Yarrowia lipolytica: one gene and its partner. The protein of the gene in region 2 interacts with the protein of the main gene of each other region in a biochemical or structural test. Links are inferred from orthologs where the notes say so. Each region holds a gene or a part of one and is shown on either strand. Other genes may lie near its edges.

The links.
Region 1: the proteins of YALI1_C28716g (region 2) and YALI1_A05003g form a complex in vitro, tested with the Saccharomyces cerevisiae proteins (2 studies listed by BioGRID). The link is inferred for Yarrowia lipolytica from reciprocal best matches to the Saccharomyces cerevisiae genes NCR1 and NPC2.

What each region holds. Positions count from the first base shown.
Region 1 is NC_090770.1:494,660-503,284, forward strand, and holds YALI1_A05003g (uncharacterized protein), read left to right. Parts: upstream 1-5,675; coding exon 5,676-6,299; downstream 6,300-8,625. Other genes in the region: YALI1_A04976g (uncharacterized protein), read right to left, coding at 1,603-2,955; YALI1_A04983g (uncharacterized protein), read right to left, coding at 3,486-3,729, 3,786-4,030; YALI1_A04990g (uncharacterized protein), read right to left, coding at 4,267-4,423, 4,488-4,567; YALI1_A05031g (uncharacterized protein), read right to left, coding at 7,314-8,534.
Region 2 is NC_090772.1:2,866,785-2,878,248, reverse strand, and holds YALI1_C28716g (uncharacterized protein), read right to left. Parts: upstream 6,571-11,464; coding exon 2,851-6,570; downstream 1-2,850. Other genes in the region: YALI1_C28767g (uncharacterized protein), read right to left, coding at 1-1,470; YALI1_C28706g (uncharacterized protein), read left to right, coding at 7,513-7,515, 7,630-8,409; YALI1_C28686g (uncharacterized protein), read right to left, coding at 8,692-9,552; YALI1_C28664g (uncharacterized protein), read right to left, coding at 10,279-11,464. UniProt on the Saccharomyces cerevisiae protein: Involved in sphingolipid trafficking. May recycle sphingolipids between cellular membranous compartments.

The DNA of each region.
Region 1 (8,625 bases), on a different chromosome or scaffold from region 2:
GGCCAGATGTTGACTCATGCGCATTAGTGATGAGGATGATATGAGGAGGAGTGTGTGATGAAGGAGCTCCAACGTGAAAGTCGTGGGAAAACCACTCACGTGAGGTGAATCGGTTCAGGAAGTCAGAGATATGTTGAAGGAGAAGGGGGTTGGAACTAGGGATCGTGTTGGAAGTCCATACGAATGATGCATGATGGAGGTGAGGATTGAACTTGAAATGACATTGCATGGTATGTACAGTAACTTGTAGGTTTTTTTGAAGGTGATGGTTTTATTGGAAACTTTTCTAATAATTTATGTTCCTCATCAATAGAAAACAACGTAAAGGAATAATCAAACTACATCAACAAAGGTTGATAAAAGATGAATTAAAATATGATTACTTTTTAGATAAAATGGAATATTAATTTATTATTTATCAAATTAAATAATAAATACATTATTATTTATCAAATTTAATACGTTAGGTATATCATTCGATTTTATTTGGATTGATCTTGACACAGGTACAAATAATGACAGAAAACGGCCATGAATACATTTATTCGACAAAATCTGCAATTATCTGGCGAGCCGTTTACCTTGGTACAAGTACGAGTTACGATACCAAGATTTGGCGATATCATCACTTTCTGTAGCAACACTCGACTCACCTACCGTAGAAAACCCGCCTCACAAAATCGCCCCAAAAACTTCAGCAACATGAGGCCAAACAAATGATACAGAGACAGAGACATGACACGTCGACTGGCGTTTAATGCCAAATATCGTGAATATAAGGAGGAGCAGATCCGCAACTTTCCTCTTACTTCGACACAACAATTATTCACACAAAAAATGGCCGTTCCACGCACTCCTGGAACCTACTCTTCTGCCGTCAGTATCCCGCCGCTACTGAGATGCCAAGTCTGCTTGGGCTCTTTTCCTCCTCACATCTTTGACAAGCACATTCCCTACTGCCATGAGTTTCAGCGACAAATTCTCAAGGATTATTGATTGATAGAGGTATAGATTTATTGACGCATGGAAAATACAAAAAAAGGAAAAAAACAGATGAAAAAAATTCAGACGACCTCGGAGAGGGTCGAACTCTCGATCTTACGATGGCGGCCATTTAGGTGACTAACAGTCGTACGCCTTAACCAACTTGGCCACGAAGTCTGAACTTAATGTTAAAAATTCGAATTTTATATATATTGAGGTTATTCGATTAGTCAGCGCTGAATCATCCCGAATAAAAATGACTCATTAGCATTGAAGAAAAGCAATTTTTTGTTTAATTTCAGGTATATACGAAACGAAATAATAAAACCCTGTTCACTATTCCAAAATCCAGCAGTTTACTTCCTGACCCAGATCAAGAGTTGTGCCTAGACTTGACTCTGGCATGCGATAGGTATAGTACACCTTCCTGAGCCACTCTGGCCCATATAACGTCATTATCAATGCATGGATATTACTACAATACTATAAATTAATCAAAACGTCCTCGTAACCAAACTAAAAGTCGTCATCGTCAGGTTCATCTTCCTTGACACCCTCCAGGACCTTGACTAGGGTCATGACGCAAACCTCCAGGTTCACCACCAGATACTCGGATTGTCAGGAGGCAGCGATTTCTTCTCGCGGGCGTGGAGGACCCATAATGACGCTCATATCTGTCGCCCCAATGGCCCCTAGACCAGTATCAGTCATGGCAGACCATCCACTGTTGATCATGTTGTCAATTCTCATCTCCTGATGGTCCAACCAAGCCTTGGAGAAGGACCAACAGTGAACTTGGCCAGCAATGACTCCAAACACAGAGATGGGCTTAACAGACATAACAGATAGCGTTTCTGTGTCCAGGAACCGGTTGCGGGTCTTGATATATCTTCCAGTCATAATGTCGCTCGTGGCATGCGAAAAGAGATCCTTTTGAGGGCCGTCCCCACACACGTTTCGAATGTACATGGCCGAGGCATTTTTTGTGTCGAGATACCACTCTTGGATGCTTGTGTTTTCGCTCATGTCGTCTTCCTCCGTCACAGTGAGCCACAACAGTCCCTTGACGACAGCCACACAGGTCACATGGCCCGTGGGTCCTCCCTTGATGATTCTGCATGTCATTTGTTCGTAGTCACACAGCAGAAGCATTTCCAGTTTGAATCTCCAAACGCGCACGAGCGAGAACCGATCACACAATTGCGCCACTCTCAAGTTGTCGATATCTGTCAAGCATCTGGGCAGCTTGAGATCCGTAATTTTACCTCTACCGACTCTTCGGAGAGCTAGAGGGGTTCCATCTCGTCCCGTGAGCTGGTAACTGAGTCTCTGATCAGCAATATCAAAGACCAGAACGGGAGCTTGGCGTGAGGACGCCAGAAAGTCCCGATCAGGGTTCATGTGGAAGTACTCCGTCTTCTGTAGCACGTGGGGAAGTCTTAACAGTGTGTTTGCGGGGATTGTGTTTTCAACATGGACACCTCCGGTAATGAGATTAAGGGAGAAAACGACATGTGTTTGTCGTTCGCCAACACCCACAGTCTTGCACCATCTGAGTCTCAAGCCCTCAGAGGCCCATCTGTTGAGAGGAGCGGCATCCGAGTCTTTAAACAGCTGTTTGATGTTTGTGTCCAACGGCAGGTACTGGTCGTGATGCTGGACAATGTCCACATGTTCCGAGAGTGTTTTTGTCGGCGTGGGGACGTCCATTGTCTGTCTGAAGGCTCTGGATTTTCTGATTGCGGTCTCAACCCTCAGCTTGGCCGCTGAAAGATGATCTGGTCGGCCCTCAAGATGTGGGTTTTGCAGCGGGAACAAATGTGTCGAGAGCCCCGAGTAGTGTTCGCGACTGTCAACCAGGGCAGCGTGGAGATAGCGGCTGGTGCGCATCAGGTTGAGAATCTCCTGGGGGTTGTCCAGTCCCACGTAGTATGCGATTTGGTGTATGATTTCGAGCGGCAGAGCAAGCATTGGAGAGGCGTGGGGCTGTAAGGGGCTGTGGGCAGGCTGTTAAGTATGAGTCGTATGCCCCTGGTTACTGCCAGTTTCTGGGGTTGGTGGAAAATATGGGGATGGAGAAGGTGGGACGGAAAGAGGAAGCTGGGAGGGTTGTGCAGATGGGGATCGGAGAGAATCGCGGGGACAAGTCGTATTGAGATGAAAGTTTGATCGTTCGATAGCTACAAAGTCGACTAGTCCGAATTTAAGGCCACAATGACTTATTTGTTTTGGCATCGATTTATTGGCGATGTGTCTGCACCGCACCCATAAGCTTCAGGACCTCATTAGTGTGCAGCAACCATGTGTGATAGCGTGATCTGCGCATGGCTGGCGGGAGGCGAGCAATCGGGCAGGGTAACCGCAGTTGATGGGGGAAAGATTGCGGTGGAAACGAAGGCACCGGTCTTTAAACTACCGTGGAGGACCCGTCTTCAAGAGGAAGTTGCTGCCAAAGTTGCTGCCAAAGGCCCCACCTGACAATAAGCGTCAGCTGACGGGATTTACAGAAAATGTGGAGCTACTTGTAGATAGAGGTTGAGTGGGCTAATATCTAATATATGACGCCTTAGTGTTGGTGGAGTGGGGGCAATTGGAGCGAATGGGTGGTGTAAAATGGGGAAATTCCGAATGAAAGGTAAAAGTAATGAATAACACTGGTTTTGGGGACCTTTTGGTGGCGCTATTTTGCATCTACCGCCGCTTTGGATGCTTCCTAAATTGTTGGCGATTTTACTCGATTTTTCCCTAACAATTCCCTTTCCGTCAAAGTTCAATTAGTCCCAATTAGGCGCGAGGATGACGTCATTTGGGTGAGATTTACGACGGTGAGGAAGAGATACAAATGGTCGAATGTTTGAACAAGATGTAAAGTACGAGTACGAGTACGGGTACGATACTGGACTATCAGGGGTGTACTTTGTAGTTGGCGGTTAACAGGATGCGCCAGCGATCTGGAAGCTGCTGTAGAATGGGGAAAGTAGCTTGGAGGTGACTGGGGCTGTATAGAGGCATTAAAGACACTGGAGCACTGGAGCACTGGAGGCATTAGCGGTATTAATGCTCGTTAGAATCACGTCCGTCTTGAATATCTTCAGTGCAGGTTAGATCCTTTGCCTTTCCCTCTCTTTCCCTCTGCTACTTCGCGGTTATGGACTCCTTCCGTCGTTTGCGCGACCCCAACGTCTTTAACAGTATCGCTCAATGTCCTCCATTGCCTTGACCAAGGCCCGCGACTTGATGTTCATCAAATCAATCCAACAGAGCAAGGGAGTGAGCAGGGACTCAAACTTCTCCACCAGAAGCTGCAGAGACGGGTTCGGCACAGATCTCGACATAGGAACGCGAGAGTTGAACAGGTTCCCACAGCATCAATTCGAATCGGATCATCTTCTTGAATCCCGAGCCGAAATGGTCGAAACCGTTATCTGAGCTGCGCTCGCTGTAAAAGAGAACTTGTTAAGCGTCACGGGATCGTCATTTGTTTTTCGTGGCTTTCTTTGAACGAACCGCTAGGCTTGGTGGGAGTAGGCTTATTCAAATCCAGCATCTCGTCCTTGGTCGCTTTCATTCGACGTTTAATCATTCAGCCCGTTGAAACTGCATGATAAGTGGAGAAGGAGGAGCAGAATGTCAGAGTAGCAGAATGTGAGAGTAGCAAAATGTCAGAGTAACCGCAGAAGTTGACATATATTATGAACAGGGTCACTCAGAATCTCGACTAAAGTCCCGCGGAACGCAACACCATTGGAAAGCGACTTCTCCTTGAGAATAGGTAGACTAGGGCGAGGGAATCTGACCAGAGACTCAGTATTCAAAAGTTCCGCAATTAAAGAAGATACGAAATGGGATTGGGGAGAGCTCTCTATCGATATGTCCGACATATGGTCGCCATGGATGGTATTCACTGGATATATCTTCTCTTCTGTACCTTCTGTGTTCTCTCTCCACTGCCCACGTGATACGGCACTTCCCTTACAATCACCTATATTTCAACTTCATCTCCGGACCTGCATATCTGCAACTTCGTAGACTCCAAAAGGCTTATACCGTCAAAAACGCAGATATTACCGTGACACCATACCAATATTGTTCAACCGATGAAATCCCCTCGAAAACGTGATCATTTTGGTACCACATGAGCCCCACCAGTCTCATTAAAAACAGCCCCTTGCGTGGGTTCCGTTCGCCTTATGAGGCTGACATGTATCTCAGCACAGCCGTCCCAAGGTGATTTGGACCTACAGTAGTTACACTGTACCAAAGCGACCACCAGAAAGGGCTTTTGCCGACTTCTGAAGTCCAAAGCGAGGTCTAGCGAGGTTTAAATCGGCCCCAACACGGTTGCAAAACACTTTAAACCCGCTCTTAATCGCTGGTGTCCTTTTTTCTCCCTCTCTTATACTCCTGTCGATGCTGTATCTGGGTCTGAGACAGCCTATCTCGGCTGATATCAGATGGAGGAACTTTAGGACGAGGTTGCATGAGGGGGATTCATTGGCCAAAAGGAGGAGTTTATAACTTTTTTAAAAATATATAAAAATTAAAATATGAACGAAAACATCGCTCTCAATTTATGGGAAATTTTTGTGATTTAATACAAAATGTTTTCCCGCCATTAGAACCCCCACCTCTCCCCGCTAATAAAGTTAGATTAACGCCACCGCTGCATATTCGACGTGCTAACATTGCTGATGAGCCTCTTTTTCTCCTCCTCCACAACAACACATCACATCACACTCCACACCATGAAACTGTCCATTCTGCCTTTGATCGCCCTCGCCACGGCCGTGGTCGCCTCGCCCGCGCCCGATGCAAACTCCATGAAGCTCATGAACCAGGCCAAGGACTTCGGCATGTCGGTTGCCCAGGGAGGACTCAAGGACATTGCAAAGACCCTGGACGACGAAGACATCCCCGGAGACTCGCCCATCTCGCTGTGCGACGCCGAATACGAGCAGCTGCTGGAAATCAAACACCTGTCCATCGACCCCAACCCCCCGGCCAAGGGCCAGAACCTCACCATCGAGGCGTCCGGATACCTCTACGAGGACGTTGAGGAGGGCGCCTACATCGAGGTCGAGGTGCGATACGGCTACATCCGGCTCATCAGCCAGACTCTGGACCTGTGCGAGCAGTCCGAACAGGTCGACTGGTCCTGCCCCATTAAGGCCGGCGACCTCAAGCTCAACAAGCAAATTGAGCTGCCCAACGAGATTCCTCCCGGAAAGTACGTTGCCGTCGCCCGAGCCTACACCGTTGATGACGATCTCATCACCTGTCTTCTTACCACTGTTACCTTCCCTGCTTCTTTGTAGGTCGAATGATAACAGCATAGTATGGCGTCCCCCCTCAGTACCGCGCACAACTAACTGCATATAATTGATGAATGATGACTATTTTAGAGTGGGGGAGAAGCTAGCCAAGAGTCCAGGGCTGTTGAGAATCTTGGAGACAAACTGTGCTATGGCAAACGGTACTGTAGACATGTTCACACGGGCAGCATGAAAGCTTACCAGCTAGCTGAGGTTATCTACAGGTGCAAGTATCGTATGTACTTGTAGTTGGTTGCTACATAGTTGGGTATGTTTTAATACTGATATCGAAACATTCATAGTAGTTATTCGGTCTGAAAAAACAACAGCTTGATTGAGCATGGAACTCGATCTTCCTAGAAGTTGGAAGAGACGCCAGCATACACAGATGGTAGATCTACCCTACACTTCGATGAGTTTCAGACCATTCGCGAGAACTATTCAGTTTACTCACTTTCTACAAGTACACCCACTGACTCGAACCCGGACCCGCCAAAGAACAACCGACAAGGCTGTATCTAGATTTAAAACACTATCTGCAAGCGGATTTCGACAAGCGGATTTATCCAACATGGAGCTCTTCCCATGTTTGATGGTCGTGCCCCGGTCGTGCCCCGAGTCGCATGCCAGGTATGTTGCCCGTAGCTACCTGTACACTCATTGAATAGACCTCTACCAGACATGTTGAAACCATAAGCACTCACGATCTACGCTCATGTGCCTGCGTTCTTCATATCTGCTCAATAATTGCTCAACCGTCTCAGATACCTACATTATCTGTCTGCGTTATCTCAACCTTTAGGTCGATTAGATATTTGCTCATGCAACGGCGATGGTATTCTAACTGTAAGGTTGCTGTCTACAGACTGAGGAGTACTCATCAGGGGTGTGTATATATCATATGTTCATATTTATCATGCACCGGAGTTCGGTGTTGTGTCACAAGTACTCAAAATATAAAAAAGTACCAGTGGTTGGTCATGTCTGCATTCAGCATGGTCGAGTCCTTGATCCCACTTAAGAAGTGCTGGCAAGAAGAGGAGCGTCAGAGTCCACAGACTCTCGGTTCTCGGCCGCGGTGTTGGCCGAGTTGGGCATGCTGTTGGTGCCGTACTGGGAGCTCTTGTTAGTGCCCTGGCCCTCAACGTTCATATCAGCGGAGTAAACAGCCGAGGCTCGCTGGAAGAGTCGGTCCTCGTCGTCGTTCTGAGGAAGTCGAGTAAACTTCTTGGACTGCCACGCTCGAGGGTACAGGGGGTTGTAGCCAGTCTTCTCCTTGACCAAAGACACGTAGACGGCCACAATGATGAAGATCCAGTAAAAGTTGTAGGAGATGACAGAGCCGTAGGTGGCCGAGTTGGTCCATCCAAACAGCGCGTTGGCAATCATCCATCCTCCATCGGTCTGACCGTTGCAGCAGTTGACGTGCCACACGGACTTGGTGATGTCGTAGGAGCCGGGTCCAGAGCCGGTCTCAGATACGTCCATACCAACTCTGTTAACGAACTGCTGCAGCTCCAGGAACCACACTCCACGGGAGAAAAGACCGGCGGCCACCAGGTACAGGAAGCACGTGGAGCCAATGAGGAAGTAGTTGATGGAGATGGCGTTGCCATACTTGTACATGGCGTAACCAATGAAAGCACCAAGGGCAATGGCGGTGATGACGGGAAGGGGGAAAGCAGAGAAAGGCTGGTTGACACCGATACCGCCGAGGAAAACCACGGCCTCCATTCCCTCTCGAAGGGTGGTCACAAACGGTAGGATGGCCAGAGCGTACTTTCGAGACAGGTACTTGAGGCCCCAGCCGCCGTGGCCCTCGTGGGTCTCGACCAGAATCTTGGCAATCTTGTGTCGCCACTTTTCTCGCATCTTGTTGATTCGCAGCATGGCGGCTCCCATGATGGTGATAATGATGGACGAGACAATGGAGAAGACGCCCTCCCACACGTTCTCAGTCATGCCCCACAGATCGTGTCCGTAGATGTAAAAGGTGGCAATGAACGCACCTCCCACGGCCAGACAGATGAGCAGACCGAAGATTCCACCCAGCCATACCTGGGTAACAAGCCGTCGATACACTTGCAAGTCCTTCTGGGACACATTATCGCCCAGACCCTGGTTGAGGAACGCCAGAAGCACGGAGATGATAATCGCCGTCTCAATGGTCTCTCGGAAGATGATGAAGAAGACCTGAACCGAGAAATAATTCTCGAAAAAGTCCGCGTAGTTGACCATGTTGTGTTGTGGAGTACAACCTGGAAAGAGTGAGTCTGGTAATTAAAAGCGACTTTTCAAAATAAGCTCCGTAGGGGTTAGAGTTGGGCGG
Region 2 (11,464 bases):
GGTACCGTTAGTCACAAACTCAGAACCGGCCTCATGGCCTGCAATCGTAGAGGTGAAAGCAGGAGTTACAGTGACCCGCTCAGCAAAAACACCATCCATAACATCCCACACGAACTCAGAGCCCATCTTGTGTCCAGGAACAGTAGAAGTGCTCACAGGAGTGACAGTAACTTGTTCGAAAATGGTACCATTTGAATCAACGGTGAACTGGGACCCCGCTCTATGACCAGGAACTGTGGTAGTGAAAGCTGGTGTCTCAGTAACCTGTTCAAAAATCACACCATCAACCGGATTGGACAAGAACTGGGATCCAGCCTGATGTCCAGGGATGGTGGTGGTGAATGCGGGCGTAACAGTAATCTGCTCATAGAGAATGCCCTCGGAGTCATTGAGCAACTCGGTACCCACCACATGTCCTACCACAGTGGAAGTAGAAACAGGAGTGATAGTGATCTGCTTGAAGACAACACCATTGAGAGGATCAACGAGGAGCTGAGAGCCTGCCTCATATCCAGCAATTGTAGAAGTGAAGGCCGGAATTGCCGTTACCTGCTCGTACAGGACGTGCTCAGAATTTGTCAGAAATTCGGAACCAGCCTTGAGACCTTCCACTGTAGTGGTGTATGCAGGAGTTTCAGTAGTTCGCTCGAAGATGCTGCCAACGGACTCGAAGAACTCCAAGCCAGTTTCATAGCCAGCGACTGTAATTGTGCTTGCAGGAGTGGTAGTAACCCGCTCATATGGAATATTTCTGTCGTCCACAAGAGTCTCCGAGCCGGCAGTGAGTCCAGTGACAACCTTGGTGTACATAGGATGTATGATAGTCTTCAGATATGCCCTTCCATAACCACTGGGGGGATATGGAAGGCCTTGTTGAGCACAGATTTTTTGAGAGTTTCCATTGTTTGCCGGTTGGTAGCTGTCAATATTCCACCAGCAAGCTCCTGCATCAGCGTCAGCCATGTCTGGATCCTCAAGATTGATGCTGCTGGACCAAGGGCCAATAGAAACATCTGACAGTCCAACAGGTGAGTTGGGCTTGACCAGAAACTCGACAGTGAGCTGTCCAGAGAGCTCAAGAACCTCCATTGAGGGGTTGTCGAATACGCTGGTCGCGGTAGCTCGGAAGTTGTAAGAATCGCTTGTTGTAGTGACATGGAAAAGTCTCCGCCCGTCATAGTTGACAATGTAGAAGTCATAATCGACTGGAACCTTGTCCTTGGGACCACGGGGATTGAGCTGTTTTCCCGCAAGAGTGAAGCCGAAGAAATCACCACCTCTGATGTCTTCGAGGGAGTACTTGTTGAAAGCGAAGTCGACCACAACTTCCCAGGTGTCCCAGTAATAGCCAGGGCCAGTCCGATTATTTGAGAGCTGTGCCTTGATTCCGGTGATAGGGTTGTTCAAGGCGCTTCCCGCCCAAACGAACGTGGCCAGAAAAAGGGCCGCAATGAAGTAGTGAGTAAGCATTTGTGTGTGAGGTTAGGCTAGCTTGGCCGCTCCCTTCAAATATATATAAGTCGAGCTGCCATGGCCCATACTCACCCTTGGATGCAGCGTATGTGTCGGAGTTTTGCCTCCTTACCTGCAGTAGTGTGATCTGCTTTTCGTTCGCTACTGTTCTCTCGGGCGCAACTAGTCCCGCCGATGTACAGTAATGGTGCAGTAGTCTACTGTGGAGGGTATGATAGAGAGCGTAATTATCGCTTGTAAGCCCACTTATGCCAATTCGAGTCTACCCTTAAACTGCGTGCAAGTGGAGTTCTACGGAGCATGTGTCGCAAGCGTTGGATCGCTACGTATGCATTGGTATCAGTCGATAGGCTGCAGAAACAAGCGTTGTCAAAGCGATTATCGAATCAATTGGGGGAAATTTGACAAAAGGAGCTTAGTCAGAAATTGTGGTATCAGGACGGTTGTGTGTGTCAGCGTAATGACATATCTGTCGCTCTCCTCGTTGTGTTGTGGGTTTAGGTGGACTCGCTAACTTGCATGTATTATGCAACCTAAATAAATGTTAACCCCATGCATAAAAAAAATCGTACGATCTCACCCGGCTCGATGTTCCAGTGCCGTCCAGACTCTATGAGAGTACATTAGTATACCGCTTACGACCGATAAATTAATTTTACTGCATGAAAAGCGTTGAGCGGCGTTTTACAATGGGTTCAAATATGAAGACACTACTTTGAAATAGTCGATTCACCAATCCTCCGTTGATGACCTTTGTGGACACACACCATCGGGTACAGCTTGTGTACAGTAGTACTGTATGAACAGTGCAATCGGCAATACCGCAAGTGTACTGTACATTTTGCCGCACCACCATAATGTCACAGCTTCTATTCGCAGTCGTCAATGCTGCATCTTTCGATTTCAGCATAGTAGTCGGACTGTGAAAAATCCAATAATGAACATCTTGTGTGTAGAATGGATCTAGGCGTGCATTGGTGTTGTCAGTGGAAGCTGTGTCAACCAATTACACTACTGTAGTGTACTGTACTGTACTGTGCATTGCATTAGCGTGTCGTTAGTCCCTTGTAATGCGCATCCCTATTGTTCGGACTTCTTAAAATACAATACTCGCTTAGAACGTACCCTCCAGCCCCTGTTTTGACAGAACAGGGTCCTATTGAACAACCGAGTCGTTTACTTTTTACGGAACTGGCAACTCTCCCTACTAGTGCATACTGGGTTGGGGTTCATACCGAACTAGATTGTTCGTATATCACTCTAGAAACAATTTTACGCCATTGTTCTACGCACGCCGACTATCCTAAGCGACTAAAATACACTAGCTAGCGGCTAACAGCCGGGAAAAATTCGTTTATCAATCATATCATCTATAAGTTAGTCCTCCTCTTCAGTGTCATTATCGTAGGAAGACAAGAACCGACTAGCCAACTCTCCCTCCAAATCCTGCTCTCCATCATCATAAACATATCCCTTGCCTCCAATGTAAGTGAGCAACACCGGCAGTAGAATCAGACTATGGGTGGTAGCCACAATGACCAGTGCTAACCACACTCGGAAATAGTAAACTTCGAAGATCTTAGATCGCGTGAATGCTAGCACAAATACTCCCAGGAACTTGGTCATGGCAATGCCACCAAAGACAGAGCCTCCTACACCCACAAGAGCCTCGAAAGTACGGGTGTTCTTGGTGGGAGACATTCGGATATGCGAAGAATTGGCCGAAACAGTCGTAAATGCACGCGCCAAGTGCACACAGAACTCCACTCCTAGACCAACACAAATAACAAGGTTCACTAGCGAGATGGCGTTCAGATTGACATTCCAAATGGCCATGAAACCAACAATGTTTATCAACATTAGTGACACTGTCAGAACAACAGTGAAAGATGTCTTGACAGACCCCATAATGATAGCCAGCAAAACCAGAACAGCTGCCAGTACTCCTCCAATCAGGGCAAATGCCTGCTTGATGATGTACGAGTACTGATCGAAGAAAATGTAAAAGGGCGAGTAAGCATAAACAGACCCCTCAGTACCTCCTAGAGTCTTCTCAATATCCTTGGAGATACGCTTGGCACTTGCTAACGCATTGATGAAATCCTTTTGTGACCTGAGAGGTGTGTGGAACGATCTAAAATGGGACGTGAGGACATCATCACTGTCATAGACAACGGCGTCACTGTAGGGAGCCTTACCTCCAAGAGGACAAGGGTCAGAAGGAGCATCGATCCAGAAGTCAAAGTAATGCATGAACTCAGGTCCCTGGGGCAGACCAGACATTGTGATATTCCAAGCAGGATCCCTGTCCTTGAAACAAACGTTGCAAGCTCGCGGGGAGGCTCGAGGAGGACAGGCAACGTCTTTGTCGGTCTTCTTGACTCGACAGCACTCATCAAGATCTGGATTCAGCCACTTGAGATAGTCGTCGATCCAAGAAGAGGCGGGCTCGCTAATGTAAGACAGCTCGGGTCGCTTTCTCTCCTGCTCGACAATGTTCACCAAAGAGTAATCCTCACAAGTCGTGAATGTTCCACACAACGACTGCTGTCCGTTTCTGCTAGTGGCATTCAGGCCAGACACAACGAAGTAGACAGGAGGGCCTACATTGAGGTAGTCATAGATGTCATCAAAGTACTGAACAAGATAAGAATCCGAAGGAACAGCAAGACGTTGATCAAGCCCAAGTTGCAGCATGGGCCAGAGAATCAGAGAGACAGCAGCCCAAGTTCCAAACACAGCAAGCACAATCTTCTTGGTCTTCTTCTTGAGTAAGAAGGGAGCGTAGTATCGTCGGATAAGTCTAGAGAATAGGTTCTCTCGATGCTCAAGAATGTTAAAGTCTAGGTCATAGGAGTCAGCGAGCTGAATGGGGGCTGACTGTCGTCGCTGATCGAGTGCCATGACAGACACAAAAATAGTCAGCTGCAGAATGGCATTAATAAACACCGCACCAGCAGCGTATATGGCAAAGTTTCGAACAGCAGGCATCTTCACCGTCGCAGCCAATCCAAAAGCCAATGTCTCAGTGATTGCAGAAATGACAATACTGGGTCCAATTCTGCCTACAGCCTTGGAGACTCGTGTGTCAACACTGTCATTAGGGTAGGCGATATTGGCAGCGTCCATCTCATGGCAAAGCAGGAAAATGTTGTCCACGCCGACAGCAAGAACCAGGAAAGGGATAACCTCCGCAATAATGAGAGTGGCCTTGATACCAATTGCAGCACAGATGCCAGCAGAAGCTGCTACAGACAGAAGCACAATGATGATACCACAGAGTCCGAGGCCGAACTTGGCCTTACCAGAGCCTCCTCCGAGAGCCATGGAGGCGTAGAGGAACATGACGAGGTACGAGATGACAACAATCTTCACATCTGTGTTGGTGCTCTTGTTCAGCTCTTCAGTAAGAGAAGCCTCAGTAGAGAAGGAGAGCTGTAGACCTCGTCTCCATGCCTCGTGTTGAACATCCAGGAGCACATCAATCAGACCCTTTTCCCACTTTTGAGCTCGTGCTTCTTGAGGATCATCTTCTAGGTAACCTTCTCCAACAAGGGTAATGACGAGAGCCTGGGCAGAGAGAGGATCACGAGAGGTCTCATTGTAGCCTCCAAATAGCAGATTCATGTTGAGAGGCTGTCCAAAAGGTGGCAGACACTGCACTGCGGAAGAAGTGCAAGTTTGCAACTGAGTGGCCCAGTCTGGAGAGTTTAGATTAATTCCATATTGAGTGTAACTCTGAATGACACAGGCATCGTTTGTGGGCTTTAGACAGAAGTCATTGAAAGAGGTGCCTTCCACCTGTAGGCTGATAATCTGCTGTTCGACTCCCTGCCACCATACCAGATTCTCTTGGTTGACCACGCTTCCTGTTGTGTTGACAAGGTAAACCTGAGCGGTACGGTAGAAGGGGCCGAAATTGTTGTCAAAGTTCTCTTTCTGGAGGTAAGGAGTAGAATCCTCGGATACCCACAATCTTACTGGGTTCTCTTCAACCTGAAACCTGGTCAAGCCAACTGACATGAGAATAGACAGGGTGACCGTAAAACCAATGGTCACTGCAGGGTATGAAGCGCAGAAAAGCGCAATTCGAGACACCCAGTATTGCAAGAATCGGTTGATAGGATAAGTGGTGTACTTCTCTGACGCATGGGGGTTCTGGTACCATCTGGAAGTCATGTACTGGTCCTCTAGAGTGGCTCCAGAGAAGAGCGTATGACTGTGAACAAACCAGGAACCTGCAATTGCGCCGAGAAGAACCACTGAGTAGATGATGATCACCGCGAAGCTCAGACAAGGAAGATGTCCAACCTTGCAAGCTCCATGTTTCTTGATGTTAGGCAACTCAGGACAAGCACCCTCACAATCACTGCATGCACATTTGTAAGCACCTGTTGCACAGTCTCGAAGAACAGGCTCCACGGGCTTAATTCCCTTGGGAGGGTAGTTTTTGTCCTTCTCATCTTCGGGCCAGGGGAAGTTGATTTGAAAGGGGGAACCTCCGAGCATGGGTTTTTCGTCCCCCAGAAACTTGAGAAAGTTCTTGTATCCGTGTCTACCGCCTCCTAACAGGTCCATGGCGTAGCCGTTGGTCGCCGAGAACTTGATGTCTTTACACGAGTCGTAGAACCCCTGAGCCCACTCTGGTTTCACATAGTAACTCAACTCTGTCACGATATCTCGTCCGTCTGTCGATTTGCCCAGTTGTGTCACATTAACGTAGTCGCGCTGGTCAGGGGCACATGTGAACTTGCAGAAGAATTCGTAAAAATTGGACTTGCAAGCCGGACACGATGAAATCAGACCATCGGCCTTCTTCAGCGAGTTCTTCAGATCCTTGATCTGCGCCGTATCACAACATAAAAGTTTCTCGTGTGTCCAAACCTCGCCGCAGATCTCTCCTAGCAGATCCAGATCCCCCTTGGAAGGCTCAAACGGACCAGCCTTGTCTTGTGGTGTCGGACAGGGTAGTTCGCTGCCGAATAGTGATTTCTTTCCACAGTTGCCGTATATGCTGCATCCTGCCGACTGAACAGGGCTTGTGAGTGTAAGAAACACCAGCAATACCGATATTACCGTCGGAATGAGTCTCTTCATCGTTCTAGTGCGTTTCGTGAAGACGGTTAGTTGCTCCACCAAGTAGGTTGGAACATGCACGATAATGCATAGGGTTAGGGAACACGGCGATGGTGAAACAGGGCGAGACAAGGTGGAAGATGGAAAGATGAATGGGTGGTGATATAGTAGACAATGCTGAGACGCTCGGTTCCGTTGGTAGGATGGTATACATTATCAGTCGAGATCTTGTCCATAAAATATACATAAAATATACATAAAATATACATAAAATATACCTCTGTATTACATAATCTGATAATGTAACTACAAGTCGCGATGGAAGGTGTAATTATTTAACTCCGGAGTATAGACAATACAAATTGGCGTTTGGTGCTTGGGTCGTGTTTCGAGATAAGGAAAGGCCGTATTTGTCAGGATTTCGTCGTATGCTGGTAAGTGTTTCCCGAGGCTCGGTATCAGTGTGTCATTCAGCCGTCTTCAATGTGTCATTCGGTCTTTTTAAGTACAACCACCAGTCAAAACGTGTCCCAGCTTACACTTCAACTACTTATTGGGTTATATTCAGAAACTGAATTTTCGCTATAAATTTTAATTTCTCTTTTGAAATTTTAGACGGGAGTTACTTGAAACTTAACTGAGGTAAATTAAATTAGTTTCACCCATGACAAAATAATGCCACAGATAGCAATTAGAACACTTATAGCCCTATTTAAAGGGTAATTAATGCCACCATTTCCTCCAACAACCTCGACACCCCCACACCCGCGACACTCACTCTACAACACCCTCCTCCAGCTCCCTACTTCTGCTTCTTATGTTCCTACGTTTTTCCCAAAATAAACTTTCCCCAATCCCACTACTTGTAGTAACGCACGACTAATGCATGCGGTGTTAACAGCAGTGGATATCTGAACATCATCATCACAACAGTACAGTACAGTACATACCCAACCGTCCACCATGGTGAGTAACAGACACAATTCGGACTGACAGTAAACATGGCAGTCACGTGGCATTGCGCCCCATAGATTCCACGTGATCTTCCTCCCCCCGGCCGTCGCGCAATCGCTAACCCAGTCTGACGAACAATACGACGCTGCTCTGTCTCTTCTGCGACGATTGGATCCCAAAAACGTCAGCGTCAACCTCAATTCCCTGTGCAAGATTGCTCCGGAACTTGCGGAGGACCTGCTGTCTTCCGTCGACCAGCCTCTCGGTGTCAAGACCTGCAAATCCACCAAAAAGGAGTACCTGACTTGCGACTACAACCGAGACGGCGACTCGTTCCGATCCCCATGGTCCGGCGACTACGAGCCCGCAACAGACGGCCCCACGCCCTCGGCGGCTCTGCGCAAACTCGAGGTTCTCGCCAACGACTCCTTTGACATCTACAGAGACCTGTACTACGAGGGAGGAGTCTCTTCGGTCTACCTGTGGGACCAGGGCGAAGGAGACAATACTAACAGCTTTGCCGGCGTTGTGCTGCTCAAGAAGACCTCGCCCTCGTCGTCCTGGGACTCCATCCACGTCTTTGAGGTTGAGACCAGCCGTGGAGAGGGGATCTACCGGGTCACATCCACCGTGATTCTCGATCTGGGCTCCAAGTCCCCCAAGCTCGGCCTTTCCGGTAACCTGACTCGACAGACCGAGCGAGAGATGGCTGTCGATGAACCCTCTCAGCATATCGCAAACCTCGGAAGCATTGTTGAGGACGTGGAGTCCAAGCTGCGAAACCAGCTGCAGGAGGTGTATTTCGGCAAGGCCCGGGACATTGTGGGCCAGGTGCGATCTCTGGGCGGCGTTGAGGACGCCAAGCAGAAGCAACGACAGGAGGAGGTCATCAAGGGTCTGCAGTAATGCAGCAATGATGGTATGGATATATAATGGATGAAATGACTAATTGGCGTGTATGTGTAGTCGTGACAAGTACAGCTGGGTTGCTACCGTCCGGCATGAGTCTTCGCAGTAACAGGCACCATCTGTAAGAGTGATACCGGTATCATAGCAGGGAAGTAGTTGGGTGCATCCGATTTTATCGTGTTATACTCACGTCTGTCTTCTCTTCAGTCACTACATATTGTTCCATACACACTGGCTACTCTCAATAAATAACTATTCTCGTCTATACTTTATCTCACTCTATTCTTGCACTTGTCCGTGGATGTGCTTGAGATGTTCATGTTTCTCCTTGTTGCTGGCGAAACCGACAATGGAGCGAGGACACTGTTTGTGATCGCAGAAGATCTTGAGTCGGAAAGTCCGATGTTTAACGTCAAGATGGGTGGCCAGGCGAACCACGTTTGCGAATCGAGTCTTTTTGGCGTACGAGCGGCATTTGGAGCAGTACAGACGTTCGCACGCGTCTTGCTGAGCACCTTCATACAGCCCATGTTCCAGGAGCTGTTCTACCAGGGTTGGTTCAGGAGTAGGCGGAGGGGGTTTGACTGGAGGGGGTCTGGCTGGTCTGGCTGCCGCTGATTCGGAAGCGTCGGCTGGAGATGTTGTGCCTTTGGTCTTCTTTGCACGTGGTTTGGTCGTTTTTGGCTTAATGGCTTTGACGGTTGACGCTGCTGGTGTTTTCCGTGTCTTTTTCCGGGCAGTCTTGTCAATCACAGCCTGCTCCGAGTTCTCGTACTTCCGTTTAATCGGCTCAACTGTAGATGGGTATTTTTCGTAAGTATAGTTAAGGTTGGGGTTGGGCGCACTTGGGGCTTCAGGCGAGGAGCCCGGGTTGGAGTTGAGCGACCAGAGGGTGGTGCAAGAGTCCCCTGATTGCTCGGAGGATACTGGAGACATGGGTCTTGCTGTTTCTTCCAGTGACCACAATAGTTCGGAAAAACTCGGCAGACGGGTGGTTCTAGGAGCCAAAGGTAACCAGCTGTTATCAGGCACACCGACCAAGGCAATAGGCTCCCGAAAGCAGTCGGAGGGCGAGAAACGGGGTTGGGTGGAGTGGAGCGAGAACTGATGAAGGTGGGGGTGGTGGTGATGGTGCGACATTGAAGTGCCTCAAAGTCGGTTGTTTGGAAGGGGGGCATCAAGCTGGTGTTCCAGAGCCCCATGGCCAGCTTCTCCGATCTTATATATACGTATTTTTGTTCAACGTCTCCTCTTGTGGCAGAGTGTCAGGTTTCCTTGTTGCCTGGTGCAGAATCATGCATGAACCTCATGGGGTGTGGACAAGAAAACTAGGGCTTCCCGTGGGGCAATTGAGACAGGAAAGGCCCACGGGTTGTATATGGGTTGACCTGGTCAATCACGTGCATCGGAGGGACCGTTTTTCCACCTCCAAAAGGCTATCAATGACGCCTCTTTACCCACTCGTATTGGCTCGTATTATGTACGGGGTCCAATTTGGCTTTTGATCATGTGTGGGTAAATGAGCAGCAGCGAAATATCACACACACTGCGAAAAATGGGGCACATTACGATACAGCAGCTACGAGTACGATAGCTGATTTTATTTGCAGGAAACGGCGGCTACTGTTGCAGGTTCGATTGCAAATACAATTGAGGCGAATGAATTAAATAATGGAGGGAATCAAGAAGGGATTTGGCAGAGACAGTGGGCAGAATGGACAACTGTGCAGTTGGGAAAAGACGAAGGCCAGCATGGGACGTATTTGGACAGATTTGAAACTGTGCGGCTCGTCGCGGGAGCGTATAATGCCATTTGGGGGCTTTTCAGTGGTGCATTCTTAGCTCTCGCTCTCGTTTTCTGTCTCTCTAATTAAGAGGCTGGCCGGTGGGGATTTTGGGGCCAAGGTCGGTGGTGGTAGGAGGAGGAGCCTGGCCCAGAGCCTCATTATAGGCGAGGCCATTGGGGGTGTCCTGCATGGGGCTCTGGATCTGGCCGGGGTTGGAGTTGATGATCTTGTCAGACACGTCCTTGGGGGACAAAGGGTTGTCGCTCTGGGACTGGTGGTAGAGAACCAGACCAGAAACAAAGGGGGCACTCATAGAAGTACCAGAGTCGAAGAACACCAGGTTCTCATTCTTCCAGTGCAGCGAAGGGATGTCGGTACCGGGAGCAAATACGTTGACGCATCTGCCGTAATTGGAACCCCAAGAGGAGCCGACTGCAAACTTGTCGTGTTGGTCAGAGGCAGCAACAACGATAGCTCCGTCAATCACCGAGCCGAGGTTGGCGGGCGAGTAGTTGCAGGCGTCCTTCATGAAGTTTCCGGCAGAAACAACCACGGTGATACCAGCTTCAACGGCCTTGACAAACGCCTGGTTCATGGCCTTGGAAACGGGGCCAGTGGCAGAGTAGTTGATGACCGCCCGAGTGGCGTTGTTATTCTGGATGATCCAGTTAACTCCGTTGACCACAGCAGAGGTAGGACCAGCGTTACCCATATTGAGGACCTTGACGGAGATGATTTTGGCGTCCTTGGCAACTCCAAAGGTGGAGGAGCCGAGGATACCAGCAACATGGGTGCCGTGGCCAGAGTAGTCTCCGGGAGGCTCACCCTCGATGAACTTGACGGGTTCGGACGCTCGTCCACCAAAACCACTGTTAGTCACATTGACTCCTGTGTCCAGCACATAAGCAACGGTGTCGTACTTGGAGGGGCCGTAGATGTACTCCATTTCGGGAATGAGGGAATAGTTGCCGCCAGCGGCCTCGGGAATGTCGTTCTCAATGTGCGAGATTCGGTCCAGACCCCAGTTCTTGGTGAACTGTTTGTTGAGGGTGACCGTGGCAAAGCCGTTGAGGGCAGCAGCCTTGTCTGCCTGAGTCTTGTCTTCCTCGACAGCCTCTTTGGACAGAGTGTGGCCGTTGAAGCTGGGCGACGTCTGGATGGTGTCGGATTCGACTGAATCGACTATACTGGAGCTCTCGACCTTGGCCACGGTCTGGTTATCGAACTTGCCGTAGTATCCGTCAAAGGGAGACGAATCGGTAGCA